Lonchura striata: one gene and its partner. Each later gene encodes a partner of the first gene's protein in a complex. Links are inferred from orthologs where the notes say so. Each region holds a gene or a part of one and is shown on either strand. Other genes may lie near its edges. The genes, in order: UNC80 and UNC79.

Evidence for each region.
Region 2: the proteins of UNC80 (region 1) and UNC79 are in contact, whole or in part, in a cryo-EM structure (PDB 7W7G), measured with the Mus musculus proteins. The link is inferred for Lonchura striata from reciprocal best matches to the Homo sapiens genes UNC80 and UNC79. Residues at the interface, in NP_780719.2 of Mus musculus: Gln23, Thr24, Trp27, Ser31, Leu34, Arg35, Pro36, Ala80, Pro83, His84, His87, Ser94, Asn95, Asn180, Ala183, Leu187, Phe190, Leu191, Arg337, Leu340, Gln341, Pro342, His343, Arg1317, Asp1320, Glu1321, Asp1324, His1545, Val1546, Asp1547; in XP_030102533.1 of Mus musculus: Thr120, Tyr123, Ser127, Ala130, Thr131, Leu168, Ser169, Ser172, Met175, Ile176, Gln179, Tyr180, Tyr207, Tyr211, Gly212, Pro213, Ser214, Val390, Cys391, Glu394, Glu402, Phe405, Arg472, Cys541, Asp917, Phe920, Ser965, Glu966, Phe967, Ser968.

Annotation. Positions count from the first base shown.
Region 1 is NC_134610.1:33,681,539-33,696,603, reverse strand, and holds the start of UNC80 (protein unc-80 homolog), read right to left. Parts: upstream 7,922-15,065; 5' UTR 7,670-7,921; coding exon 7,578-7,669; intron 6,250-7,577; coding exon 6,201-6,249; intron 1-6,200. UniProt on the Homo sapiens protein: Auxiliary subunit of the NALCN sodium channel complex, a voltage-gated ion channel responsible for the resting Na(+) permeability that controls neuronal excitability.
Region 2 is NC_134608.1:15,627,586-15,642,749, forward strand, and holds the start of UNC79 (protein unc-79 homolog), read right to left. Parts: upstream 7,707-15,164; 5' UTR 7,607-7,706; coding exon 7,585-7,606; intron 7,186-7,584; exon of another isoform or gene 5,536-7,185; intron 2,312-5,535; coding exon 2,191-2,311; intron 1-2,190. UniProt on the Homo sapiens protein: Auxiliary subunit of the NALCN sodium channel complex, a voltage-gated ion channel responsible for the resting Na(+) permeability that controls neuronal excitability.

The DNA of each region.
Region 1 (15,065 bases):
ACACAATATATTTTCTGCAATATGAGAGAATTGAAGTTAAGTATCATCTGTCTATTAGTCAGTGCTGACATCAAGCCAGACTTGCAGCTGTGCTGGGCAAAGCCAGTAATCCTGTTGGAAGTCATAGGAGCTAGGAAAGCCTGTATTTGTGGAGCTGAATGCTGGATATTCTTTAACACACATTCTCTTTCAGTTTACTGTAACATAAAGGGCAAACCACTAAAGGTATATGGGCCTTAGGAAATGTTTTCACACCCTGTCACAAAAAATAATCAGGGTACAAATTTTTTTTTTTTGTCGAGCTATGATGTAATGGTTTTGTGAACACTTACAGAGCTGTTGACTGCAGCAAGTTCATTATTTCCACCTGAAGCAACACAAAATAAGGCTACCTGCCACTGAAATCCCTAAGGAAGCTCCTTATTGTTAGCTGCCCCAACTGTTTCAATAAACTGTTGCTGTGATCAGATATAAAGATCTCATTAGAGGTCACAAGTGCAGTTATATTCCTTCACTGAAGTACCTACAGCAAAGATAATGACAATAACCATAAACCAGCTTAACCTCCTGGCTGCCTCTTTGCTGTTTCACCAATTTTACCAAGCTCTGGGCAAACAAGTTGCCCAAAAAGATGCTTCAAAGGCCCTCACTCCAGATTCACAAAGCTTATCCTGCAACACTAGTCATTGCAATTTTTTTTCCCTGTAAAATTGAGGGGGCGGTAATAAGAATAGATTTAGTTACAAAGAAGAAGAGCAAAACAAGTATGTCAAAACATGCTCTCCTGAATGAGCAACCACTCCCAAGCACGGCATGCTAACCTGTGGTAACAGGCACCCTCCTGCCTGTGCCAGCAGCTGGGCACGTTTGTTCTCTCCGTTTTTGTGATCCTGTTTGCTGGTGTGGGCAGACATGAGCTCCTCTACCAAGAGGCTGGGTGTCCTGGTGCAAGCTCAGTGCCACACCATTGTAGTTTTACAGCATCCAGTCCCGCTCAGAGGCACAGAAACTCAGATCTATCCATTAGAGAGAACTAAGACTGCGCCAACAGACTGAACCTTGAAATACTGACAATAACCATCAGAGCTGCCAACAAAGATCAGTGTGCACAAGGCCACACTGCTCACCTACTAGAAACACCAGAATGCAGTCAGAAAATATAATGCAGATGCCTTGTGGACCAAAAATGGCTGAAATTGGAGGGCATTTGATGTAATACATGGAAAAAATACTGGCTTCTTGAGGATTAGTCAAAAATAATGTGCCATGGACCATGTTATCAGCAATATGTGTTTCTTAGCACCAGGAATGGATAACCTGCCTACTAGAGAAGGGAGGCTTCAAGTCTCCCATACAGTGACCTGCTAGGGGCCACAGCATCTGAAAGGAAAAGTCTCCTGCCATTCTATCCTATCAGTTCAGGAATGGGGCAAAATGAAGGGATACCAATGCTTTGGAAGCCCAAACAGGGAGCAAAGCACCCATTGTAAGGACTGATTATTCTGTTCCAGTCAGGATTCACAGAGGACAGAGAGTGCATTAGTATAAAGACAACAGAGGTTTAGAGTAAATATCCCAGTAAATGGATTATTACATAACAAAATAAGGGAGTGAAGCAGCAGAACAGGAGGTGCATAGTTACAAATACCACGAAGATTGAAATAGCCAGTGAAAAACATGAGGTTTTATTTATTTTTATCAAAAGAGGACAGGGACCACTCCTTAGCCATCAGTCCAGCCAAACACTCCTATTTCCACCCTTCCATTGGCTCTGGGGCTCAATGAATCCTTCATTCAGCCAAGCCAAGCCCCTGCACAAGCCAAAAGGAAGGTCAGAACAGAGGTAAGCAGTTCCTACCCATGTTAGTGAGCTGGATTAGCTCACTGAGAGGACTGCCAAGCACCAGTGCTGACCAAGGCTTACGGAATTGAATTATCTCACCTCCAGCACAGAAGCCAAACCATAAGCTCACACTTTAGTAGAGTTGACAAAGCTATTCAGTTTGCAGGGCAAGGGGAGAAATAAAAACACCAACCCTATTCTGAAGTGCAACGGAAGACACCTTGTTGCTCCCTGGCTTTCTAGTCAAGGTCTCATTCCTGGGTATTTCAATGGCATCAGGTAGAAAGTTCCCCAGCAATTGCCTTCTGCAAGCTCTGTCCCACTGTCAGCATGCTTCAGAAACTCAACAGGCAGCTAAGAAGTTTGCAATTTTATGTTTAGATTAGGCTTGTGTTTATTAAGACATTTTGGGCTGCTGAGACCTTGTGAAGATTTCCCTATGTGGTTAGCCACCAGATTCTTCTGTTCTTTCCAGGCCTGAGCAGAAAGCTAAGTATTTCTGTACTGCAATGAAAGATTAGCTTCTGGAATAGCTGATGTGATCACAAGCATCTGAAACAGAAGTACCATATGTTGCCAGAAAAAATGCAAACACAAAAGCTGCTGTATGGAAACCACTGGATGTCCAACAGGAACACGCAGTTCTTTGGACAAGCCTTCCTGTGGAATCTGCCTGGAGTTCTCCATAAAGGTGCAGCTTTCGTCTATACCAGACACTCAAGATGCAAGGTTCTGTGTTGCTCCTGAGCCTCCTTTTCAGTGTGCTATGGCTCTTCTCTTTCAGGACCTGCTACAGGGGCAGAAGACCTAATTTTTACCTTGCATGAATTAAGAACTGCTGCTACAGCTCAGAGTTCCATGCTCAAATAAGAAGGCTGAATGAGAATGTCTGAAAAAGCTTCCTGTGAGTGAGTCAGAAGACAGATACTGTCATGCTCTGGGTACATCCAGAGCCACAGCCTCAGGGCTCAGGGCTCCAGCTTGGCTAAGAAAAAACCTACTTACAGCAGGCTTGTTCAAGCCTGCAACACCCCACACACACACCAAAGGCAGATGAAGAACATCTACCAAGGGGATAGAGAGGGAAGTTAGTGCCTTGGCTGGAGAAACAGTCCCTTTCAGCAGGGTTGTGTGTGTGTTCAGCTCCCTGAGGACCACTTACACAAGCATTTTTCCTTTTAGCCTGGTGGTGACAGCTGTTTTCACAGGGAATGGTGGCCAGCCTTGTCTGGCTGCCTTCCCACTGCTGCTGTTCTCCTTTTACCTTCATCTCCACCAAGAGCCAAAGGCACTGCCAAATACCTTGTGACCAGGATCAGCCTGTGGGTCACTGTTTGCTTTGTCCTGTCCCTCTTGTCTAGGCATCTTCAGGCTATCTGTTCCCATTCCAGCAGCATTCTGCCTGGGCTTTGTCATGGCTTCCTGAACAGCTTCACTTGAACTTCCCTTGCTCTAAGCCCAGGGAAGCTGTACCTGCAGTGAATTGCATAAGGCAGGAAGAGGTCAGCCAGGGGGTGACAGAGGGTGCCCAGAGGTTACCTTGGGAAGCTCAGCACCTCCTGTTACATCCTCCCAGGAGTGCCAGGAGTATCTCTACAGGATTACCCAGTGCAGGCACAGAAGGACCATGGCAGTACCACAGAGAAATGGTTAGTGCTTCTTGAACTCAGCTTGTGTCCTTGGTGGGGACCTTAATGCCCTGTCCTTCCAAAGCTCAGCCTGCATCATGGAGGAAAGCTGAGACTACTGCTGAAGTCACTTCAGACTGACTGGAAAGAGCCTGAAGTGCAGGCAGAAAGTGCTGTCAGTCTGGGGCAGGTCCACTTAGCAATGAAGAGTTCCTGGAAAGATCTGGGAATCTAGGAGTTCATAACACAAGGGATGGTAAGACTCCATTGTTTACTAAATATAGCAGTAGTATAAACATTGTGAATAAACATTCAGAAGTAATGAAACACAGATGCCACACACTTTACTCACAGAAATTCACATTTCTGCAACCATGCCCATTGTCTGGATAAAATAAAGGTGGCCTCTTTCTGAACTTTGTTCCATAGCTATACTTTAATTATCCACAATAACAAAACATGTAATTACATTTTCAAAAACAAGGGGAAAAAACCCACAAAAAAAACAAAAACCTAGAAGAGAGGGAAACTAAATTTTCAGGATCCTCCAGAAAACATTTGAGTTCTTCCATGGCCAATGAAAACCAGAGCAGAAGAATTTAAGCATACCTTTGAGTTCCTTACCATCACCCAAAAATGCATTGGCTTTGTACAGCACTCACATGCTTTCCTGTGAGGTCATTCACAGCTTTGACTCTGGCACATCAGGGATGGCCTCATGTCAGGGCAGAACAACTTCAGAATGGGGGAGTAGGAAGAACATTAAACCCATACTGAGGCACAAACATTTAGATGTTGTGAGATAACTATTCATGGTTCAGGTAAAGAGAACAATGCAATGAAAGGGCCAAGTTTTTTTCCTCAAGTATTTTGGTATATAGCAGACCCCAAATAAACAATGCAACATGCTCTTGCAGACCAGATGCTGCACTCACTGAATCTCAGACTCCAACATCTGCTTCCTCAATGCACAACAGGCAGCAAACTCCACTGCAGCAAGTTTAGAGGCAAGAAAAACAATAGAATACTGCACAGTGTTGTGTCATATGCACTGCCAGACAGTTAACAGCCCATAGACATGCCTACAACAATTCTGGCTAGAGAATTACAAAAGGATAGATCATGCAACGGGTGCACAATATTTTTAGGCAGACTAGTCAATACAGGGGTGTTAGATAGTCAGCAGGAGGTTTCAGAAGACAAGTCAAGTACCTGTCAAGTTCCAGAATCCGCCTCACCCATGCATGCAGCACTCTGCTGCCTCACTGGATAATACAGAATGGGCACACCAGTAGGCAGAGGAAACAGATGAAGCATAAGGCAGCCAATGTGTCAGTTCAGCCTGTTACCCAAAAATTCCTCAAAGCTAAGTTCCACCTTTGAGCAGTTTCTACCATAATTTAATGATTATGTTAAGAACTTGAGAATAATCAGGTTCTTCATCCAAGAGGTGGAAATTTATTGGATGTTTATGAAATGCCTGTTTTCAGAGCTCCCTTTCTCCTGGCTGAAGCGTGTGATTTGGGTTGTCTCACAATTTAGAGGGTTTTTAGGGTGTAGTTTGTTTTTCACACTTAGTAAATTCCAGTATGTGCTCCCAGAAGAAAGGTGCTTTGCAATTAGCCTCAGGGACCTGATGCCAACAGCCCAGCAGGAGGCAAAAGGAGTTACAGGCAGAGAGGTACATCACAGAGAAGGAAGCTCTGCCCCTCTACCCACAGATGAAGCCACAGCCCCCAGGTTAGAGGTGCCCCAAGGCACAGCTCCTGGTAAAGGACAAACAAGTTCCATTTTCCAGCCCCTCAACAACCAGATACTGTCAGTAGGCATTAACCAGTCATCACTGCTGCATATGCTAGAACTGAACATTTTACTCACCAACACACTAAGCCAGCAATCCCATCTCTATCTGGTATCTAGCAAAAACTCTGAAAAATTTATGGATTTCTTAGAAGAAAATGACTCAGCAACAGATACAGCTTCTCCAGCATAATGCCTTGTGAGAAGGAAGTCAGAAAATTGCTGCAGAGCGACCTAAGAACTTTAAACTATTAAGATACATGTCCAGACCAAATTTTTCCACTCTGTCAAGTTTGGCTGCAACTGACTATTGTACTTTAAGTAATCCAAAGACCAGCAACCATTCAAGGAATTCTCTAGATACCTGTCTTATTTGAACTTACTTCATGTCTTCTTGTTTCCCCCCTTTTTGGCAGTAACTCGAGGCTTTATTTGAAGTACATTTAGAAATCAGAGTTATTTGTATCTGCATAACAGCCTTTTCTTAATAATTCTGATAAGATACGCTCCCTCTAATTTTCAGTAGAAATGTTTCCCATGTTGTGCAATGGTAAAAGTATTGTTGAAAGTCTGTTAATATTGTTTAGATTTTCCATATTATAAGCTTGAAAAACCATCAGGAATTGCAAACTGAAATGACATCAATCTCATGCAAAAGCACATCCACACAGAGTGAACTGCAAGGTTAGACCCACACTGTCATAGCTCAGTTTGCCCATGTCATTATTTATTTCATTACTACAGCATTACTAATGAATTAATTATTACTAATATCCAAATAAAATTTCAAATCCTTCATGTGATAGGAGTACAAAATGAAGCTGAATGGACTAAATCCACTTGTGGAGCTGATCAGCCACTATGGTCAGATTGATCTGCATGACAAGTTAGTTACTAGCAAGCATTGAAAAAGAAACACACGTACGTACCACACAGGAAGCTTCATATTGCTTCCCCAGTTTAGGTCTTAAAAATGCACTGAAAGAAAGGAGAAGCAGCATTAGAGACCCAGTACATCAACATGTATTTTTCTTAGTTATTTTTAGGATTCCTCTCATGTCAGAAGGCTATCAAAAGGCTGAGAAACTCATTGCAAAGGAAGACATAAGCCAAAACTATGTTAGATACCTGTTGATGACATCTGATAAATGCTGTTATCTTTTCCAGAAGAAAAAGTACCCACCCTGATATGTCAAGAGGTATTTAATTCAGCCCACACATTCCCAGGGATAAAATCTTCCATCAGACAATTTTCAGCCATTTTACCTCAGTGAAAGATTTTCAACATATCCTCTTTAAAATTTGTTACATATTACTGAACTTTGCCTTGCCTCTTTTTTAAGCCAGAGATCAACTTGCCATCTCTGTATTAAATATTTTTTTTCTGCACAGCTGCTGATGTGGAAGGCTCATGGTGAAGTGCAGGCCTGTATGCTGCATGTCGAGAACACTCACCCTCTATCACTCTCCTCCAGAATGAGATCAGAGTAAATATTAAAAAAAAAAATCAGGTCACCTTATTGCAGGCTTGGTTTTTTTATTTTTATTTTGAAGGACACTGGCTGTGGCAAAAGGGGATTTTGCGACTGAGGCCTTAAATTAGAGCCACAACCTTCAAATCTTCCAACCTTCCCCACTGCCCCCACAATGTTTTCAATTTGGAATCCTGCTAGGACAGGAGCCTGACAGGATTAGGAAGGAACATAGAGCACCAGCCATACATTCAGCGAGTCCCTCACTCTCCAGTCCAGTGAAATAAGGTGACACTTGGACATATCTGCTTGCATGCCAGCCTCTCAAAGCACGGATTACACCGCCAGGACAGCTGCAAATACAGACAGAAGCAAAGCTGCAGGTCTGGCGCAGCACTGATGGATGCTGCTTCTGCTACAAGAGCACCATGAGTTCTCTTAAAAGATGGGGGATGGAGGGGAAGGGGAGCACGGGACAGGGAGGAAGGGAAAGGTGCATAGAGAAACGGACATGGATGGTTTAAAGTCAAATCAAGAAGCTGCCTGGGACTTCCACTAGGTTAAGCTGCCTTGAGACCTCCCTCCTCCCACACCAGATGCACACAAATTGCTCTATACTGAGTAAAAAAAAAAAAAAAAAAAAAAAAAAAAAACACAAAACCCCTAATCGATTGTTGTTTTGATTTTTTTTTTTTTTTTTTTTTTTTTTTCACTGCTTCACATTGCAGCTGCAGTAATAACTGCATCCTCCGTGCCTCCGGGCAGCAGCTGTCCCGCAGCCCCTCCGCACTTCCACTGCCCTGTTGCAGGTGCATCCCAAGTGCCTGCTCTTACCTGGTCTGCCTCCATAGGAAGGTCTGGATGGGCAGAGGGATGCCACGGCCGCTCTCCTGCTCCTGGCCCTCGGAGCTTTTCCTTTTCACCATGATGCTGATGACAGCCGCTGCAGTCTCAGCAGACGCCCCGGCCGGGATCTCCCATGGCCGCCTCTGGCTCTCCGCAACTCTTCACCCTCTCCCCTCCGCTCCCCGCAGCCCACCCCTCCCTCGGCCCCGCTGGTGCAAGATGGCTGCAGGAGGCAGGGAGGGAATTCGGGGGAGCGAAGATGTCCGCGTCCTCCAGCTTCCTCCGTGCCTTCAGCACCTCCCTCTGTGGCCAGCTCCCCGCGCCCGGAGCGGGCGGTGCCGGGGGAGGGAGGCGGCGGAGGCGCCGCCCGCCAAACTTCCCGCACCGCGCCGCCAGCAACAGGGCTGCGCTCCGCCGCCGCGGGGCCGGGCCGCCGGGCTCCGGCACTCCCGGGGCGGCCCACGGCCCCCGGGCAGGGACAGCGGCTCCCCACAGGGGCCGGGACACAGGCTCCCCACAGGGGCCGGCACAGCGGCTCCCCACAGGGGCCGGGACACAGGCTCCCCACAGCCCGGCCGGCACAGCGGCTCCCCACAGGGGCCGGCACAGCGGCTCCCCACAGGGGCCGGCACAGCGGCTCCCCACAGCCCCGCCGGCACAGCGGCTCCCCACAGGGGCCGGCACAGCGGCTCCCCACGGCCCGGCCGGCACAGCGGCTCCCCACAGGGGCCGGCACAGCGGCTCCCCACAGGGGCCGGGACACAGGCTCCCCACAGCCCGGCCGGCACAGCGGCTCCCCACAGGGGCCGGCACAGCGGCTCCCCACAGGGGCCGGGACACAGGCTCCACAGAGCCCGGCCGGCACAGCGGCTCCCCACAGCCCGGCCGGCACAGCGGCTCCCCACAGGGGCCGGCACAGCGGCTCCCCACAGGGGCCGGCACAGCGGCTCCCCACGGCCCGGCCGGCACAGCGGCTCCCCACAGCCCCGCCGGCACAGCGGCTCCCCACAGGGGCCGGCACAGCGGCTCCCCACAGGGGCCGGCACAGCGGCTCCCCACAGGGGCCGGCACAGCGGCTCCCCACAGGGGCCGGCACAGCGGCTCCCCACGGCCCGGCCGGCACAGCGGCTCCCCACAGCCCCGCCGGGCAGGGACAGCGGCTCCCCGCCACGATTCCCTCCCTCTCTACCCCCTTTCTTTACCCTCCCGCTCCCTCCCTTCTTGCTTCCCAAATGGGCAGAGAAGGGAGGCAAGTCACGAACCCCCCCTGAAAGTGCAGATTGGTGATGTTGGGAAATGGATTTGTAGGGAGTTCTCGAAGGCTCACGCAGTGTGCATCTCCATGCAAACTTGGAGAGAAGAAGTGCTGACTTAGAAATGCCACGGAATAGGACGGACACTGTTGAGAGAGAATTAGAAGTAGAAATAAGTTTCAAAGGATGGCCTTGCAAATAAGATTAGATGCTTTGGAGAAATAGATCAAAAATGCATTGTATTAGAACCCACAAGAGGTAATTTTTGATGATAAGATGATTTAAGGCATTTACAGCATGGCGTAGCTAAAGCTGATAGGCCAGGAAGTGTTTATATTGTATTGTAAATAGGAAATAATTGTCTTCTAATTGTGATGGCGTGAATTATAACATCTGTATTGTCTCACCCTTCACATGAGACTAATAATAGAAGAAAAGTTTTAAAATGCCTCTCAGTTGCCCCATCTCCGGGTCAGAAAAGGGCCTAATCCAACAGGTGTTGGGAGCAGAGGAACTTTGGGGTTGTTATTCCACAGATTTTTCTTACACAGAAAAGCTGAAACAGAGGTGGGAAGTACCAAAGCAGATTTACTGGTGTTTCCAATTAGACACCAGGCTGATTTGGCTAATTCAAGTGTAGGTTTGAATTAGTATTACTACAAATATTTTTCAGGCACTGTTAGATGAGCTCTCCTTCTCTACCTAAGGATATCAGAGGATACTACAACAAATAATAGAATAAAATGGAAGACCAGTACAAGTTCATCCCAAGCAGTTCTCACAGGAGAGAAAAAAAAAAAAAAAAAAAAAAAAAGTGACATTCTGTTGTTTATATGAAAACTTTTTAGAGGAAACAAATAGCTTTGAAGTTCAGGATTATTTTTCTTACTCTTTATTTGTGCATAGCCAGTGCCTTGCCCTGTCACAAACCATTAGCAAGCAGAGGTCACATAGTCCAGCACTGAGAGGAAACTAAATCACTACTTGGAATTTTGTTTATGATTACTTTGTAGTAACTGAAAATGGAACTGCAAACTGCAGTTCTGGTCAACCAAATGGTCTACCATTTGAGTGCAGCACATTGCTCTCCAACTACACCCAGTCACAAAAGATACATAAATCCCTTTGTACAGAAGTTTGAAGCTACAGAACTTCTGATGCAAAACAAATCAGAGAGCAAAGGAAACAACAACAAAAGAAACATCAAGTCACAGGAACTGCAAGCATGAAGATGCAGACCTTAAATCCAGACAGGCCATCTGGAGGTGGCAAAGGTAGCTCACATTAAGTTTGACAGTAGCCAGAGACAAGTTTTGTTCTCACCTTATTTTGGAGACAATGCCCACCACCACGAAGGGCACACAAAGCTGAAGTAATCTGTATCTCTGTGAGTAAAATGACTTGCATGTTTAAGAGAAGAAATTTTACCATCTGGAAGATTTTATTTATCTCTATACTGAATTTCTGCTGGCAGCAGAGGCTTTCAGGTTTGCAATCAGCATTTGACCACACCTAAATACTAACACTACAGTGGATGCTACAAAGGGAAAGTCCTGCAAATCGGTCCCCTGCCTTCCCTCACAGTGAGGGTAGAGAGAAAAAAGTAGATTCTTCAGAAAGGCCATTACAGCAAAGTCTCCTGAAAATTCACCTGTGCTCTGTTCTCTAGGCTACACTGGCATCTTGGACTGGCACAGAAACATAGGTCCATCTGCCTGCAAAAAGATCAAAACTCCTGCAACAAGTCAAAGCAGGTGAGGGAAAAGTGGAGAAAGCTCTGTGTTACTCCAACAGCTCCTAGCCCATGCCAACTGCTCAGCCACTGAAGATGCCCTTGACACCAAGCACCCACTTCCTCTCTCACTGCAGGCAGGAGCCTGACATGCCTCCAGATTCTGCTTGATCACTCCTTTATTCACCAGTTATGGTTACAATCCAGCACAGCAGGGTCTAGTCTTGATCCAGAAACAGCCAAGGCTGGCAGCATGGCACAGAGTGGGGACACAGAGCAGAAGCCCCCACCTTATACAGGAGTGCTCAGAGCAGGGAACTGCTCAAACCTCACTGCCTTGCACTTGTTTCCATGGTTATGCTCTCCAAGTTCCCACTCTCAATCAATCCCTGCCATACACACTCCTAGGAATTCACATCTTAATTCTCTGAACTCTCCATGCAGAATCCAGGCTCTCAAGAGTATGTCAAGCCATTCTGTTGTGCAGCAGCCTTTCCAAGAGCAAAGCTGCAAACAGCTCCTAAATGCAGATTCCAGAGCAGGGAAAAAAAAACCATTTGCCACACCCTCGAGATCTTACTCTTCCACTGTCTGCCAGCAGGCTTCTGTCCTGGCTGAACAGACCCATCATGAAGGAAAACCTTTTCTCCCTGGGGACAACCAGTCACAGAAGATTAGCACTGATGGATACCACTTGTTCTACCCTTTCCCATATGGGTCTGTCAGGTAGAAAGAATGTAAAAATTTAGAGAAGCCTGGGAAAGCCCTGTTTCTTCTTTAAGGGCTTTTAAACAGCATGAAAACTTCTCAACTAAGGTTCTTCAGTAGTCTCCTTCACAGGTCTTCTAGCTAGCCCTGCTTAAACACAACACAACTGTGCTCAGAAACAAGGATAAATAATCCCTGTAACTGCAAGGATCTCCTAAAATTACAGGTGTTGCTGCATGAATTTGGGCAGGAGTGGACTGCAGTTCAGCTGGACCAGATTCCACAAGAAGAGTTAGGTATTTAATCCCTCAGTCACATTTAGGTAAAACCAGTCGAGTAGCACAGCACTCATCCATCTAAGAATTCTGTTTCAAAGCAGAGCAGAAACACAGGCCCTCCACACCTCACACAGTAAGTTACTGCCTTTGCATGAAGTTCAAGCAACAAAACATATTCAAATAGACATTTAACTGCAGCTACATGCATTACATGCATAACAGACAGGGCAGGATGGGAGGGAACAAAATCCTGGAGATTACATGGGGGGATTATCTGGACAAAACCAGGGGGAAAAAAATAACACCTCAGCTTTCACTGTCAAATTATCATCCCTTGGCTCAGGATTCTCCACGCTCTGTAGTACCTGAAAGACTTTAGCTTTGTTTGGAGAAAAAAAGGCAACAGACCTCCTCCCCTCAAAATGTGCCCTACCTGAACTTTTTAACCTTCTTCCTAGAGAAGAAAGCATGGATCTTTTGATGCACGGAGTTACCAAACATGCCTTCCTCTCTGTTCCTCAGAGAGAGCTGAGCACTGCCACGTTCCCACCCCAGGTCTCAGTTCTCAGTCCCTTTCTGCCCCGGCTAGCTCTCCAATGGGGCGAGAAGGGCAGATGGAAGCACCCTCCGCTGAGCCCAGCAGGGCTTTGGAGAGTGCTTTGTGGGTCTGATGGGCGCAGCTGAATCCCACGGCTTGGCAAAGAAGAGAGTCTTGTTAGGGGCTGAAGCCAAAGTTTATTGCAGCCCAGCAGGGCCCAACAACCCCCGAATGATGCCAGCTAACAAGAGCCCCAGCAGGCTGCTTGCAACATCTTATATACTGAGAGGAGGGGACTTGGCCAGCCAATAGGAGCACAAGGGGAGTGACTATTGCATTGACAGACACATATGGGAACCAATGAGGGATGGATACGGGCGGGGCCCAGGCCCCTGTCCAATCACCCGGCACTGGGGATGGAAGGTTCTGGATGTATGGGCGGGGACACCGAGTGATGGACAGGGTGCCTGGGAGGGGCCAAGGGAATGACTCAGCACTTTAGGGGATGATTGACACCCAGGGTAAGGCGGGAAAACAGGGACAAACCAAGCTGAATGTAGGGGTACATAGGAACAAACCATTACACTTGAGAAATTATAACAAAACATGCAGTAACACGACTCCACAGAGCACCACCTCACCAGTATGCTTCTCTGTCCAGAACAAGGGTGTTCACACAAAACCAGGTTTGGGATTCCCTCCACCAGGGCCACACTGCTTTTTAATCCCAGTAACTGGGACTTCTGCATAGCCAAGCACCTTTTTTTGCAGCGCTTGTTGCCCAGAGCAGCAGCAGTACTCTCAGCAGAATGCTGCCCAGAGAAGCTGTGGCTGCCTCATCCCTGGAAATGTTCAAGGCCAAGTTGGACAGGACTTGGTGGAAGCCAGTCTAGTGGAAGGTGTCCCTTCCCGTGGCAGGGGGTGGAATGAGATGAGCTTTCAGGTCCCTTCCAAACCCATCTATGATTTCTCTGTTCCACCCAGAGCACAGAGCCACACTCCCCTCAGCCTGAGTTCAGGCTGGGACTGACTGAGCATCCACCATGGATCCACGATGACACACTCCAAACACCCCTCAAAGTCTGCACTGTTCCTGTTCGTTACCAAGATGGACCCAAAAGCTCACCCCCAACACCCATCTCCTGTCACCTTCACCACCCTGGCACTGTCCACGTGCTCCTGCTGTGTCCAGCCAGCTGAGGGGATCTGCAGGGCGGGCAGAGGAGGCTGTGCCACATGGGCAGTCCAGGGCCACCATTTCACCATTTCCCTGGTGTTCAAGGAGCCTGCGGGCCGGTGTGTGGTTGTGCCACATGGGCGGCCCAGGGCCACCATTTCACCATTTCCCTGGCGTACAAGGGCCCTGAGGGCCGGTGTGCGGCCGCACTTCACGGCGCTGAGGGGTCACTGCGCCCAGGCTCCGCTGCTCTGTGCAGGGTGTTGCTGCACGGCACCCCCAGAGGTCCCTGATCCGGGGGCCTGGATCACGGGTGCACAGGTCCTGACCACAGAATCACAGGGCTGGTTTGGTTGGAAGATCATCTCGAGACCTCTGAGATCATCGAGTCCAACCAACACGATGAACCAACACCGCCTTGTCAACCAGGCCATGGCACTCAGTGCTACTTCCAGACTGTCCTTAAACCCCTTCAGGGACAGTGACTCCACCTGGCAGCCAGTTCCAATGTCTAATCACCTTCTCAGAGAAGAAATTTGCACCCAGCAGGGAGATACTGATCCGCAGAAGAGGATGCCAGCCATAAAAATTGATCCTTTTGTATAAAAGTGGAAGGGATTGGCTGAACAATACAACTGGATCTGCTGTGACTGCTCTGGGGCAGACTGAGGGCAGTACTGCACGTTGTGCAGGGTTTGGATTCAGGAGGAGCTGGATCACAAACATAGGAAGCTAACACATACAATTAGATGACAAGCGAGTTTATTTTGCAAAACAATCACTATACAGCAACAAATACAATTGCAAATCGGATTGAAAAACATGAACTACCTACCACCAGCCATTCAAGAAATGCCTCTTTTATGGTAACAGGCTCTAGAATTATCAGAAAAAACACAGGTTTGTAACAGCAGACTGTACTCCTTGATATCCCAGCATACAGCATTGTTTACTTGTTGGCTTTTTCTCTTTGCTAAAGTTGAAGTGGCTTTTATACACTTGACTTTTCCCAGTGTGAAACTAATTTACCTTCCTGCAGTGGGAATTGCTGGAGTTGCAGAGGGAGTTGCTTTAGCAATCTGACTAGTGAGTGAACTCACAGACACCTAGGCTAGAAATCTACCAGCACTGATTTTCACAGCTAATGTGATCTACTCTTCATGGCATTTGCCTTTGAAGGGACATACACTTGGGTTTCAAACAGTATTTAGTCCAGCATGGAAAAAACTTCTGCTCATGTGGTAGTCAACACAGGCTGCCTTTTGACTCCCTTTGAGTCATGTATTTAGGCAAACTTAGACGTGTGAGCAGTCATGATGAGGTTACTACTGTACCATAGCAGAGGGCTGAATGATTAATTCCATTTACTGCTGTACAGTGAAAATATATATTGCCCTTGTGGGCCCATAATTTTCCTCATCAGGTTTAGTTTTTCCTTTACTCTTGCTGGACAGAGGTATGATCAACTTTGATTTGTTTCAGCTTGTGGTTACATAGAAAGAAAACTCTGCAGATGAGGCAGAAGCACTCTCTCATCTCTACAACCTGATGGATTATTGAATTTGGGGTGCTCCCCTAGGTACCCAAACAAGGTTTCACCATTCCTTTTGTCTGGATTACCTCTGCTTTGTTACACAATTGGGTCTCAGGCACCCAACAAACCTGCTGGCTCAACATGCCTGTGAAAAAGAAACATAACAGATGCAGTTTCCAGGAAGCTGGCTCTATCTTCTTTAGTGGGCATTACATATTTACAAACTGTTGTTTTTAAAACGAACACTCTTCTTGAG
Region 2 (15,164 bases), on another chromosome or scaffold:
CTTAACCAGTCTGTTTAGTTTTAGGGTAAATCTTCCAGAGATCTGCACACAGTGGGTGGGAGTTTCCTTCTTTCCATCTGCCACACTAAATACAGGGTGTGTTGTTTTGCTTTTTTATCCATCTTCTTTCTTAGTATCAGCAAGTGTATAAAGTTACACTGGTCCTATCACAGCACTCAGCCTTTGACCCACAGTTCAAACTCCCCAGCTACAGGGGTTTAGAATCTGAATTTGACCTTGCCTGAGTATCAGAACTCAGTCCACTTAAATTTAGATCCAAGCCCTGGCATTAATTTCTCATACCCTTTTAGTTCTGAGGCTAATCAGATCCCAGATCATGAAGGACATAGCCATTTGTGTATCAGACATGAGTATCATTTCTTCCCCATGGGGTTCAGCATTACCAACAAGAGGATTTTGGTTCAGTCCCATTCTGAACATGAAATAAAAAAAATGGAGTTGCTTGACTGTGCAATTGCTGCCCTGATTTCTGATCTGCTCTCATAGTTGCTAAGTATAAAGCTATTTCAGTAAGCCCAGGAACATCACTACTCCTGGAGTTTGAAGAATTTATCAACAGGACAGGTCAGCTGTACATTATAAAAGAAGACCACAGAGTGGCAGAAAGATGTTCTGCTTTCTTTAAGCAGAACATTCTAAATCTATCCTGACCCAGGGAACTTCTGAACAAAAAGAAACATATCTCATTATAGCACTTGGTAATTACAGCTAAAAGAGAAAACATTCAGAATCAAGTCCAACATTCTTGTTTAACAGCTTAAAGGTTCCATGTATTTAAGCAAAAGCTGTCTTGTCATAAATAATCTTACTTAAATGCAATTTAAGTGTGTGTTGTACAAATAGTCCATCATAATAGCCTGATGTGGGAACAGAGACATGGTTCAGAAGTATCTTTTGTGACTCTTTGAACATTTTTCCCACTGCTCAATTCAATGAGACAAAATTTAATTTATTAACCTTCAAACAAAAAGTCCTACTGGCTGCTCTAAGTTTCTTCAACAGTCTAAATGAGGAGGGAAACAAACAGTTCTGCTCTTGAAATTTTCAAAAGTAAACAGGAGGTTTCAAGTTTGCTGTGAACAGATGTTCCACTAAAAAGTATTTCTGTCTATCTGTCTCTCCTTTTAAATAGGGTCAAGAAAATTTTGATGCATCCCAGGCTCTTTGAATGTTAGAATGAACTGTTCTCATTCTCTCAAGTTTAAATTCTTGCTTCTCAACTTGTCTATATCATAGGAGTATATGTACAAACATATGGGTCAATTGTATTTTGTTAATGTTTCCTCCTCAAATAAGGCAAATAGCTGTATTTCCAAACTACCCTTTGACAGCAGGGACAATCTTTCCAGGTATAAATCTGGAAGCTATGCATAGAAATGCAATTTGAACTGCATTCTTCTGGATGTGAAAACTAGTGCCAGGCAAAACCAGCAGATAAAATCCCCTCTGCATGGTCAAAAGCCATTTTAAAAACAAACAGGAAATATGAATCCACTAGGCAGCACTGCGGAGTGTACATTATTCCTAATAAAGTCTCACTTTTTTTCCTATTTTTTTGGAAGACAACACAGTATTTCCTATTCGTAATGTATTCTCTAGTCACATGGTATGTAGCACTATATATTATTACTAAACATTAGACTAAGTAAAAAACGTTGGATCAGAATAATCCTGATGTGTTGTTACCATCTAAATCCAGATCTGTATACAAACTTTGTCTGCTCTAAGGGACTGAACCAGAACCCAGAAGAGCTGACCCAAGCACAGTAAGAAACCAGTTCTGCTTGCTCGTCTGGCTCCACTCTGGGATTCTGAGGCACCAGGACTCTCAAGGAGGCCATGATTATACACATCTAAAACTCTATAGGTCACAAACTCCTTTCTTCACAAGTTCAGCATGTTTGTGCGTTCAGCTAAGCCGTAGGACCAAGCAAATGCATAATCAACCAAGTTTATTCTAGAATCAGCCACTCAGTAAAGGGGCTTAACTGGGCAAATTGGGCAACAGCCACTGAAGACATTCGTTCATACCATGTTTTTCTTAAATTATGCTCTGACTCTTTTTGGCTGACCATTGACCCTTTAAATCTGGCAACCAGTTCAAAGCCAATCAATATCCCCTACAATTATTTAGCTCTTTTTTCTTCAAGAGCATTAGTCAAAACTTACCTCAATAAGGTCTGAGAAAAGTATTTCAGAGTATTTGCAATGTCAGTTCCAGAGGGCACAGGGTATATGTTGTGGAGAACCCGGTTGTGGTATTCTTGAAGGTAACGGATTTTGGAAGCAACTACATAAAAGACAAAAAGAAAAACACAAAAACCTTCATTTAGGCTTTTTGCAGATTTTGACAGAGTCATGACTTTCATTTTCTTTTTTTTTTTTTTAATTTAAATATTAAACTCAAAAAACAGAAAAAAATCTCTCTGCTCATTCTGTTCTGACTGAATAAATTGTAAAAGAGTGCCAGGGAGATCACATGGAAGTTAATTTCTGCATCTGTATTAGGCAAACATAGTGCTAGCAAATTAAAAAATATATACTGCCAGTCAGCACTTTGTCCATGTCTCCAAGCATCTCAAGAGTCATTTATAATGAATGAGTCATTGGATCACAGGAGGTTCATGTGAGACAGATAAGCATTTCTACAGCCAAAGCAGAGATATAAGCTAAGACAGAGAGACCTTATGTGATTTACTGTGGGCCATACATTTACTTTATGCAATGAACTAAAGGTATGAGAAGAGCAAAGTGGCTGCTGTTTATTTGTCTTAGGAAGTGCAATCAAGCAGATAAGGGGATTTCAAATAGCAGCAGGAGGTGTGCATCTCCACTGAAACCAATTTTTGTTGTATTACAAGTAAACACTGGGTTTATTTTCTAATAGGAATCCTTGTTCAGTATTGGGAAAAAGTGATTACCCCCATAACTGCACAGCCTTACATTGCCTGTACAGCACAAGGCAGTCTCTTGTAGAGACATCTACAGACACACAGCTCTTCTTGCTCCACTCAGATTAACCAGCTCTGCTGAGACAGAGTGCAGTGGCTGGGGCAGAGGGCTGCTCAGCTGTGCTGCACTGCAGACACAGCCTCATGAAAGCACAGCTGCCTGGGAACTCTTCATCATGTTAAAAGTAACAGGCAGTTAAAAGGGGAGATGCTTCTGAATTCTTTCAGCCCTTAAGCATATGGATTATAACAGTCTTTCACTAGACGAAGATATACCTTGCTGCCCTACCGGGCTCCCTCAGTGTGGAAGATAAATCATGCTACCTAAACAAGCAATTAGTCAATTATTGGTTTTATTCTCATGGTCAAATAGCATTTATTAAACAATAAATACCATTAAGTCTTCCACTGAACAGAAAGGTACTAACTACCTGGGAGACATTGCTATGGCTCTCACTGCTGAGATAGCTGAACAGTTCATGAATTTTCTATTTTTTTCTGTGCCACTGGCAAGTTGAATGAGAAGGGGTGACATTGTACCCGTATTGCAGAAAAAGACTGATGGACAGACACCAAAAGCAAAGTGTCTGCAAATATTGTTGGAGGCTCAGCTTGAGATACTGAGAGCCATTTTGCCACTATAGGTAACAGTACACACTGGACTTTCACATCCAGAAAACAAAAGACTCCTTGAGTGGTCAGCCACACAACAAATAAGGTTTGACAATCTCAAGTCAATTATCCATAAAATGATGAACACTCAAATAATCATCAAATGAAGAAAACTGTTTTCTTGAACGCATGACAAGAAATCCAGACTTACAGCACCCAACTAAGGTCATTCTTTAACTCATTTCCTGTTGTAAGGAGGGCATTCCCCAGCTCCTGCAGCAAGTGAAGCTTCTGCAGACAAAAGTCTCCCTCATGATATTACCTGGCTTCATCACAAGGCTTTCTCCTTGAGAAAGCCCATCATGTGACGGAAGGACTGGGGTCTGTGTGAAACCAGCAAGCAAAAATGCAACCATGGACACTGTCATAATGCATATGCAAAAGCAACACACTAAAAATGCATAAGCATCTTTAATTACATTTCCTCATCTTTAAGCCTTTTACTTCACAATTAATGAATAACTAAAAACAATCATGACTTTTTCCCCTCTCCCTCAAACAACTGAAATCAGAATTACCACCACGTAGGCCTGTGGCACATGAGCAGTGCTCTGCAGGAGCTTATCCTGTGTGACAGCAGCCATAGCTGGCTTCGTGTATGGCCCCCAAACCACTGGGCCAGGAACATCTGGGCAGGATGTGTTTCACTCCACATTACAGAGGCTGAGTTGAGCAGCCCAAGACTGTTTTCCCCTTCTCATCTCACACCTCATTCTTTCTGCCCACTAATCTCAGTTTTAGTCCCAGATTTGCAGGCTGTCTCATCAGATTATTTAAAAGGTAGACATTTCTTTTAACTACCATAAAACTAATCTAGTTTGGTTTCTAGATTAAGAAAGTAATGATTTCATAAACGTATTTAGTGATGTTACTTTCTCTGGTCAGGGAAAAAAAAAGTATGAAACCAAGTATATCTGTAAAGGACACAGACTATGCAAGGCAGTACCCAATTAAGAACAATTCACAGCAAGTGCACAGATTACTGTGGCTATCATGGTTTGCTGTCAGATATCTGTAAATTAAATGGACTACAAAATGCCAAAGATTATTACACAATTCAGATCTAGATGTATTTCAGAGAGCTGTGTGCCTCCCTACAGTTACTAATTTTCAATAAAGGGCATAGGGTATCTCAAATCACTTAGAACAGCTTTTTTTTAATGAACATGAAAATCCATTCATTTTTATTAATTGGCATTGTTGTGCAATTGTATCAGGTCAAATATCAAAAGAGAAAACTTATTTATAAAGTCTAAATATAAACATTAGCTTTAAGCTAAAGGTTTCAGCCTCACTTCCCAGCTCTGTTTCCCAAAACAATGTCCATTTCAGCACAGCTTCCCACAGCACAAAGAAAATTCTGAAGGAAAGCCCCAGAGCAAAAACTTTGCCAGGATTCAAGTTACAGCAAGTGTGCAAATGGCCTAATTTTCTGAGTTTCTGAGTACCCAGAGACACACTTCAAAAAGTGATGTCACCCTGTGGAAGCACTTGGCCACCCTCATAGGGTCATCACAAAACCAAACAGGTATCTCTCTAGCATCAACACAGACTTCACTAAACTCCTCAGCCCCTGTGTAACCATTGAATGAACCTAGAGTGAAGCCATTAAGTGTCCTCAAAGATGGCCTTGGTTGCTCCACTGTCCTGGGGGGTAACAGAGCAGGCATCAGGCATTCCCAGGACATTACTTACCACAACTAAACTCCAATTACTGCTTTTTAGGGTGAAAAATAATTAATTTTCTTTGAATACTACAGAACATCTCAGGCATGCTGCAGAGTCAAGTGATCAAAGTCACTGTTGATATATCTGGTATGCAATACAAGATGCATGTGGTCACAAAAAAGAGCAGCTTCTCCAGTTAACCTCCAGAATGACACCATTTTACCTGTTGTTCACAGAACCTGCCCAAGAGCTGTGGGATTCATGATTAGACCAGCTTATCTTCTGTTCCAATCAGTGATTCCTCAGTCGCAGTGTTTCACTGATGCTCTTGGTAAACTGAGAATTCATTATGACTTGTAACTTGAGTTCTTCCCAAGACATTCTGGTTCTTGCCTGTCACTCAGTGAGGGCAGAAGCAACAACAGCGACAGCTGGGGTTTGAAAGTTTGACTGGTAGTGATGCATGCACACCAACACATCCTTGTCAGAGTCCATTACTCAAAAATTGCGGGTGAGGGAATCTTGAAATTATGTAGAGACAAAGACATTTGGTAATGCCATAAGAACTAGTCAGGGAAGCAGCCTTGGTAAAAAAAATACATTCAGCAGGTTAGAATGTACAGGATATGTCCATTAACCAAATACTCTGCCTAGAGTATCACAAAAAGGGACACTGGAAGGCAGAAAGATCTGAAATCTGGACCCGAAGTAAATCTTAAAATAGAGAGCCATAGGGACACGGTAGGCTTTGATGCAGTGTCTTGAAAAGTACAAAGGGATGAAAAGAAAAAACAGCCAAGGATAAAATACATAAGAGAAGCTCAAACAGAGCAGACCAAAAGCATTAGGAATAGAGGAACAGAGAAGACAGAATTGAAAAGAAAATGTCATAGCCAGTGCTAGGACAAAAAGTAGCACAAATTCTTCTGCATGGCAGTGTGAAGGAAGTGCAATTAATGTGCAAGTATCACACAAGAGAAGAAACAATTATAGAACTCAGGTGCAAGGTGGGGATGGAAGCAACAACAGAATGGTACAGGTCCAAACATTGCACAATTCAGGGCTTCTGCACATCAGAATATTGTGTCTCTAATTAAGATACTAGAACTCCATCTTTACAGCAATAAATTAACATTTGCAGAATATTTTTAAAGCAAGATGATCCATCATCGTAAATAAGCAGTAAACCCTAACAGAAAAGAAAAATACAGGTATTCTTTTTGTTAGATCTGTTCACCATAAGCACATATAAACACAAGGATCCTTCTCAGTGACCTGGAGGAAGAAGAGAGCAAGTCTCAGCATGCAAAGTGTCAAATCACATCACATCATCATGACAAACATCAATCCAACCTCCTGGTCCCAGACTGCATGTTCATAACCATGACACTGTATCAGGCAAGAAAGTAGCTTTGACATGGGTGACGAGCTCGACTACCCCAGTATTTTATTTTCAGCATCCCATCTGGGCTCTTGCCGACAAACCAGGTGTCATGAGAAACGACAGTGAGGAGCATTTCCACAGCCCAGATGCAGGTACCCCAACCACCATGTCATCTCCTGATGCTCTGATCAGCTCTAGCCAACATGGTGGTTACAACACCCGCGACCAAGCAGAGGCTCGCTGGCCGCGGGCAGGGGGATGCCAGCACCTGGGGGAATCCCGCTGGGACCGGGCACTGTGGCAGGGGGCCTGTAGGCAAGACACGAACACCCAGCCTACGTTCACCCGAAAGGTGAGCGGCGCGGGCAAGAAGGACAGCACGGCTCTTCTCGCTCCATCTCACTGCAAGACCACCTGCAAGGTGGCGACGCGTGCGTCACCTCTGCTCTCGCAGGTGGCTGCATCCTTCGGGACACGGCGCGGCGCCGGCAGACGGGGCAGGCTGGACCGCTCCCGCCGTGGGGCGGGGGGCGAAGCTGGCGGCCTCAGTACGAACTCTCAGCCCGATCCCTCATTTCCCCCGTCCGCTCCCCGGCGCTGCCTTTGCCGCCGCCCCGAGCTGGCCGCCCGAGCAGCGAGGAGCTCCGGGGGCTGCGGCCACCAGCAGCGGCGGCGGCTCCGGCAGAAAGAGCCAGAACGCCGGCAGCCCCCTCCCCCTGCACCGCCTGCCGGCGGCCGCCGCAGACCGCGGCAGGAGCGCGGGCAGCGCTGCCCGCCGGGGCGGCGGGCGGGCGGCGGCGGGGCAGCGCCACCGGCGGGACGGCGCCCCCGGCCGCGCTCCCTCCCCTCGGACAGACCCCGGCCCGGAGCCCGCCCGGCCCCACTCACACTGCTCCGCCTTGGTGGACATGCTGCCGCCCCGCTCTGCCCCTGGGCGCCGCGGAGCGCCGGCCCCCGGCCGCGATGGAGCTGCCGGTGCCCGCGCCCGTGCCGGTGCCGCCGCCGGTGCCGCAGGGCTGCGGGCCGGGGAGCGGCGGGCGGGCGGGACCGGGCGGGAGCGCGCTTAAAGGGGCAGCGCGCCTGGCGGCCGCGGCAAACACCGCCCCGGGAGGGACGGCGTGCGAGACGGGACGGGGAGCGCGGCACTTGGGATGCGATGTGCCGGGGCGGCCCTGGGGCACCTGCCCCACCGGCGCTGTGGCCCCGCCGAGGTTGTCGCAACGTCGAGTTGGGAGCTGCCGAGCCGGAGGACCTTGATAAACGCCGGCGGTGTCCCCGGGGGCCGCCAGGGTGGCCGGGGCTGCGGAGGGGCGGGCGGGGGAGCTACACTGAGCGAGGACAGCGCTGGCGGCACTGCCAGCAGCTGTGCTGGGGATCCGTGTGATCCCTGGCGTGGAACAGCTCTTGGCTCCCTTGCGTCCTTCTCGCCTCGACCCCTGGGCTGCAGCTGTACCCCGGGCGGGCGGGCAGGCAGTGCCTCCGGGCCGGCTTTCCCCACCTCTTTCGGCCGTGCACCGAGCGCCTCGGGACCGCCGTGCCTTTCCCGAGGAAACGAGGGCTGCGCTCAGCCCCGACTGTGTCCCTCTCCTTCCCCAGATCCCAGCCATGGTGACTGCCCCAGGACCACGGTGGGTTGAAAAGATTTTTGTCCAATTGTGGTGGGAGTACAGTATTAACTATAAAAGTCATTTGCTTCAAGAGAAATTATTTCACTGCTGTGCGTCCTATCAGCTTCCCCATCGTCCTGACTTGACCGTACCAGGTGTCAGAAATTAACAGTAAACTATGTGTTTCTTTTCTGAAACTTTCCATACCAGTTTTTTAGATCCTCACACCTCTGAAAAAGCTATGTGGAAGCGGCAGTATTTCACCAGCCGGGCATGGGAGTCATGATGTTTACACACAAAAAAGTCCATTGCAACATACTGTCCTCAAAATGCTGGGCTGTGTAAGGTAAATAGGACTGTGGCAGCCAAAGAACTGCGCTGTGGAGGTGGAAGAAAATAGCTATCTTTTGTTATTCATCATACAAGGCAGTGCCTCCAAATTACTGCTGCCCGATTTGGGGACAATGTACATTCACTGCCATAAACCACAATGAAGGGGCAGATTCTGTTCACTGACATTAACTGGTTCATATTTTTCCTGAAAGAAATTTTCTAAAAATAGTGCATGGGCAATGTTTCTTCAACACCCCTTAATTAGGTACAAAGTAGAGCTCTTACTGGAGGCCATATATCTTTCCACACTCCCTGCTGCTTGTTAGCCCCAAAGACAGAGAGAAGCCAACTTATACCACTGTTTGCTCTTTTACATTCATTTGACAGTAAATATTTAAGTTTTTTTCCTTTATTAGAAGTTTTATTTATTTAAGTGCCCAGAGAGGTCACGTGGTGCTACAAACCAGTTTCCCCTAACCCTATGTCTCACAACATGGAGCATAAGGGACAAATATACAGACAAATGGCTTTCAGACTTCATTGAAATAAGATATTGAAGACAGGTTTCATCTTTGAATTTCTGTCTGTTGATGCAACAAATCAATCTGAACTGCTTTATTGCTTATTACAGAACAATAGGGAACTCTCTGCACTGAGGGGAACTGAGCTTCCATAAGTATCTTTAAATCATACCAAGTGTTCAAATACCAGAGTAGTGAGCTTATTAAAAACACTCAAGTTGATAAAGCAGGAGTACACTGAGAAAATATTAATTCCATTTCTCATGTAAAATTTCTTCTTTGGTTTAAGTGTCTGAAAATTGCAGCTATGCCTGCATTTACTGAACAAGGTCCTACATAGTACAGCATGTAGTTCAGCTACCTGGTAAACAATTTATTGCTTATGAGTTCTTCTGCATTGTCTAAACAATGTCTAAGCCCTAAATAAATCCTATACAAGTAGTCTGTTGTTCAGTCAAACAATTTAAGACTTGCCTAGTTTGTTAATTCAAGTATAGAGACTCATGCTTTATATTGTGAACAAATGTCATTAAGCAGCAAATATAGAAATGTGGCACCCTGGGAATTAATTTCTCAAGTGTCTGGGCTGAACCAATGTCATAGTTTCTCAGCAAGATCCTCATGAATATGCCTAACAGAATTGGTACAGTGTTCCACTAGGAACCATTTTAAGCAGCTAAGGTTTATGTCCATATGATTTTTTTCCTCTCTACACACACGTATTAAGAGAACGCATAAAAGCTGCAGGCATCTTAAGCCCACAAATCATTAATAAAATAATATATTTTTAACATCAAATGAATGGGAAGTGGAAAATTTACACACCAACTGATGAAAATGAAAGCATGCTACTTTCTGAGTTCATGAGCAGAAATTCTACAGAGTCATGGAATCTTTGAGGTTGGAAAGACTCTCTGGAGCTTTTCTACTCTAACTTCCCTGCTCAAAGCAAGGTCAGCTAGAGCAAATTGCTCAGGGCCATGTCCTGCCAAATTTCAAACATCTGCAAGCATAAAGACACCATAACTTCTCTAAGCAACTTGTTCAAAGGTTAGACTATCCTCACATTAGAAAGCTTTTTCTTCTTGTATTTCAGTTTGTGCCAATTGCCTGTCATCCTGTCACTGAGCTCCACTGAGAAAAGTGTGGTTCCATCTTCTTATTCCCTCTCCTAAGGTATTTGTACACGCTGACAAGACCCACTCCCCACACCAAACCTTTTGACTTTTGTGCTAAACAGTCCCAGTTCTCTCAGCACCCTTTTATATGACAGATGCTCCAGTCTCTTCATCACTTAGCCCTTCCCTCAACTTACTCCAGTATATTCATGGTGAGTCCAGAACCAGACAGAACTCCAGTCAGGTCTAACCAGTGCCAAGCAGAGCACTATAAACACCTCCCTTGACCTGCTGGCCATGCTTTTCCTACTGCAGCCCAAGATCCTGTTGGCCTTCTTGCCACGCAGGCTCATTGCTGGCTCACAGTCAACCTGGTGTGTACCAGGACAGCCACGTCACTCTGCAGAGCTGCTTTTCAGCTGCTCAGCCCCAGCCTGTACTGGTGCTTAGTTATTCCCTCTGATGTGCATGATTTGGATTTTAACGTGTTGAACTTCATGAGACTCATGCTGGCCCACATCTCCAAGCTCTCAGGACACGTTTGAATGCAGCACAACCTTCAACTGCTGGTGTATCAACAGCTTCTCCCAGTTCTGCATCATCTGCAGAGGGTGTCCCATCATCCAGGTCATGGGCAGAGACATGAAACAGCACTTGCCCAGGGCTGACCCCTGCAGTGCAGCACTGGTTTCCAGCTGGACTTTTTGCCCCTGAGCACAACCCTCTGGGCCTGGCAGTTTGTTTGGCCACTTTCCAATTCACATCATTGTCAACTTGCCTAGTCCATATTTCATTACTTTCTCTTTGCTGATGTAATGGGAAGCGTTGATAAAAGTCTTGCTAAAGATAAATTTTCACTGCTTTCTCCTTCTACACCAAGTTAGTAATTTTGTTGCAGAAGGTTATCAAGTCGGTCAGGCATGGTTTTCCGTTTGCAAATGCACACTGACTATTCCAAATAACCCTTCTGTCCTTAATGTCTTTGGAAGTGATTTACAGGATTATTTTCTCCATCATCTTCCCATGGATCAAGGTGAAGATAAATGACCTATAATTTCCCAGATACTCCTGCTTGTCCTTCTTGAAAATAGGAGTGACTCTTGCTTTCTTCTATTTCTCAGGACTCTCCCAGTAGCTTTGGCCTTTGTAAAAGATGATAAAAATCAGCCTTACACTGTCATCGGCCAACTCCCTCAGCACTTGTGAGTGCATCCTATCATGTCCCATGGACTTGTATAAGTCTGGTTGTTTTGAAATGTGGCTTTTGCAGGATAAGGTAGATAAGGTGTGGAAGGGATTTGGAACATATTGTTTCTGTGAATTGTGCTGGCTTTTAACTAAATTTTGCCTGCCTAAGAGTGTGTACTGTAGTTACAATATAATTCAGGAATAAATAAATGACATTTTCTCCTGTAAGGAGAAAAGAAGTAATCAAGAGCAGAAGTCACTATTTATGTGACTATTGTCACTTTGACTTACATTTTCAAGTATTCAGCTCCAAAAAGATGTTCCTTTTTTTTTTTAATCTCCAAGCATTAACAAATCTACTTTTAGAAAGGTAATCCTTTCTGAAAAATACAAATCCTAAGCCTTCCTACCTTGAATCACATACAGAAAATTTATTAAACTGTTCATAAATTGAAGTGAATTGATGCATGTATAAAAATAAATAATTTCATCAGTTTACACAGATATATAGCTGCACATCTGTATCCAGACATGTTCACTTACAAACACTTAAAACATTCTCATGGTGTTTTCCGTAAAGGCTCAGCTTCCTGAGTCATGTAATTACATGGGTCTCTATTTGCATTTCAAATAAAAACTAGTTCTTGCCTGACATATTCAAAGACTCCAATGCAATATAAACATTGTTTGAAACAATGAGTATTTCAATGCCTGAATGACAGGCAAGAATGAGAGGCAAAGCACCTAAGTGCTTTTTAAGTTTTATCAAAACACAGAACAAAACCAGCTAGCTTTCAATTTAATTTCTTTTAAGCCAATACCTCAATTATTTCAACTTCCTCACCTCTTTTGGCAGGAGATTATCAATACCTGCATTGTGATAGGAATATTAAAAACTGCAGTAGGAGTGGGGACAAGTTTGAAATGCCTCAAATTTTTCCTTTAATCTCTACAAGCCTATCTGAATTGAAGGTTGTGGCATGGAGGAGGGCAAGGGTAATTGCAATAAGAAAAGCCAAACACAGAATGAACTGAAGCAGGAGGAGGCAGGTTTCTCTGGCTCACAGGATTTTTCAATCTACGTGGTGCTTTCTGAATACTTACAAGGCTGAACTAATGCCAATGAGAGGGTCTTGGTATGGAACTGGAGCCCCTGAACAGCTCCTGCATAGGGACCAACCTCCTCCCTGTCAGATTCAAACAGCAGATGGAGTCCCTCAGGCTCAGATGAGTGTTTTTCACAGCAATAGTTATATCATATTAAATTAAATTTGTCTCTAAATCTTTGCTCTATGTAAGAATTAATCCTCATGAATGACTGTAAAATATATAATCGCTTGAGGAAAAAGTCTATCTGGGATTAAACTGAGCAGTTAGGCTTAACTGAGCTAGGCTACAGCATGTATCCTGGAGCAGTTCCTCAGGGCTCTGACACCTGGGTCAACCAGCACGAGCCAAGAGAGTGAGCAGGGAAAGCACCTCTTCTTGCTCACAGAAAATCATGTCTGCACAAAAGTAACACAATATTACTGACAGCTTGTATAGTCTTGTGCAGGAAAAAAATTTCTTCTGAGGTGAAGATACCCAATTTTAGCCTCTGTGCTGAGACTTAAAAGTGCAAGGAAAACGTCCTTTAGTGGTACTATCACGCAGCACTATGTACAGAAAAAATACCAACCCAACCTTCCTCTTGTGGGAGGGCTGGAAAGTAACTATTCTGAGAAGGAAGGTGTAGAGTAGGATAGGCATTTGGATAGGGTAGAGAATTAGAATAGAATAGAATAGAGAACCAGTTGGCAGTAATGGCAGAAGTGATCATAATGTGACCAGAAGCTTGGCCAAAGCCACCGACCCATATCTGTTATGCCATCTGGCATGTGACAAATTCATTTCAGTCATCACTGACTTGGGCTGCTTTAAAGTGAGAGATGGAGCAGCAAAGGGCTCTGTGTCTCATTGCTAATACTGTGTTTCCAACAGATTAGCCAGATTGTGATGCTGATATTTGTTCTTTCTTTCCCCAGTTTAGAAGAATTAAGACTTCAGGAAAACAAAAAGTTGTTAAGAAATACACTGGTTATTTGACTGTACTAACAAAACTGGAATTTTCCTCTTATTCTGATAATTATGTCAACTAAATCTGTGGATGTTTGCTTTATTGTTACATTTGTCAGCATCTGTCACTGTAAAAATCTCTGATAAATGCCCTCAATTTCTCTTCTAGAGTAATGTCATTAGCCTCTAAGTGAACAAAATACTTAATTTGTTGCCATAGCAGTGGAGTTTAAGAAATACATGGTGACCTGCATAAAGAATTAGCACAAATTTGATAAGGATGCACTAAGACTATTATAAAATCAGAGACTGGATATGCTGCTCTAAGAGGCACAGTCTTTGTGCCAACTAACATGCCAAGTTTGTGAAAATTAGCACCACCCTAGCTGAATTATATCACACCTGCAAACAGTTGGGATTTTCCTTACCTTTAATATTAGACTTGTGCAGAATTGACTATACCACCTACCTACACAGCTAAAATGAAAGCACATCATAGTGGCAGTAATGCTTTAGGATCAGAATGACAAGTGTCAAAATACTGCTTTCTTAAACCTATCACAGCATCATGGCCCAAAGGCAAAGAAATGAACAGAGAAATCAAGAAGACCAGATACTTAATTTGCTTTAATATTTCTACACTCAAGTAAAAACATTTGTAAGAGGTCTCTGCTGGGCAAAAACAGTTACAGAGGGCAAAAGAAGGCATGAGACTTTCCACAAGGAAGTGAGGAGAAAGCATGCAAAATTCAACACTGCTCAGGTCCTTGGTGTTTTACCACACCTGTACCAAGTTTGTGACCCATGCCAGGGTCAAGACCCTGTCTCAGTGACAACTAAAGCTGACTGACTTTGCTCCTGCATTTGAAGGCTGTCTCCCTAGGAGCTAGCAATCTGTCTAGTCTCTCCTCCAAAGTGGTTTGCTCCACATGGGAATCTAGCAGTAGCCTAAGACGAAATAAAGGGTGGTCTATCGGAGACAGGAACCTTGGTGGAAACAAAAAGTGAACTAAATTGACAGAAATGGGACACTCCTAAAGCAGCCTGTAGGAAAGCTGCTGCACTTCACATGGGAATGTATTTTTCTCATCTGCAGATCCTTACAAATTGCCCTATCTATTGCAAATTCAGGTCTCTTGACAATTGCCTAATATTCCCCAACTATTTTTTGCAGACCCAGAGTGTTTATGAACAAGAAGCTGAACACTACTTGGCCTCTTAATTTAAGTATAAACTCATCCAGAGCATCTATTCTTAAGAAGAGACAGCAGAGTGACTGAAAGACACTTCACTTACTCATGAGTATTTTATTATGAGTACACTGCAGCACATTAACATAATCACAAAGCATGTAAATGTTATGAAGTTTAGTTCAACACAAGATCTTCTGCCTTACCTGGAATAGCTGCTACTTGTGTTCCAATGGAAGAACAGGCTTCAGCCACTTACCCTTAGGTATGTGTTATCTGTGCTACTACTTATATTGAGCTTAAAACCAGCTTTGGCCCCATCTGCAAGAAATGCAAACCATTGATGTAGAGATGCCATGAGAAGCACGGCAGGGAACCATCCTTCAGCTCTGTTTCCACCTTCCTGCTACCCTGCTGCCTTACCTTGGGCAAGCATTTCATGTTTGGTGCTCCCCA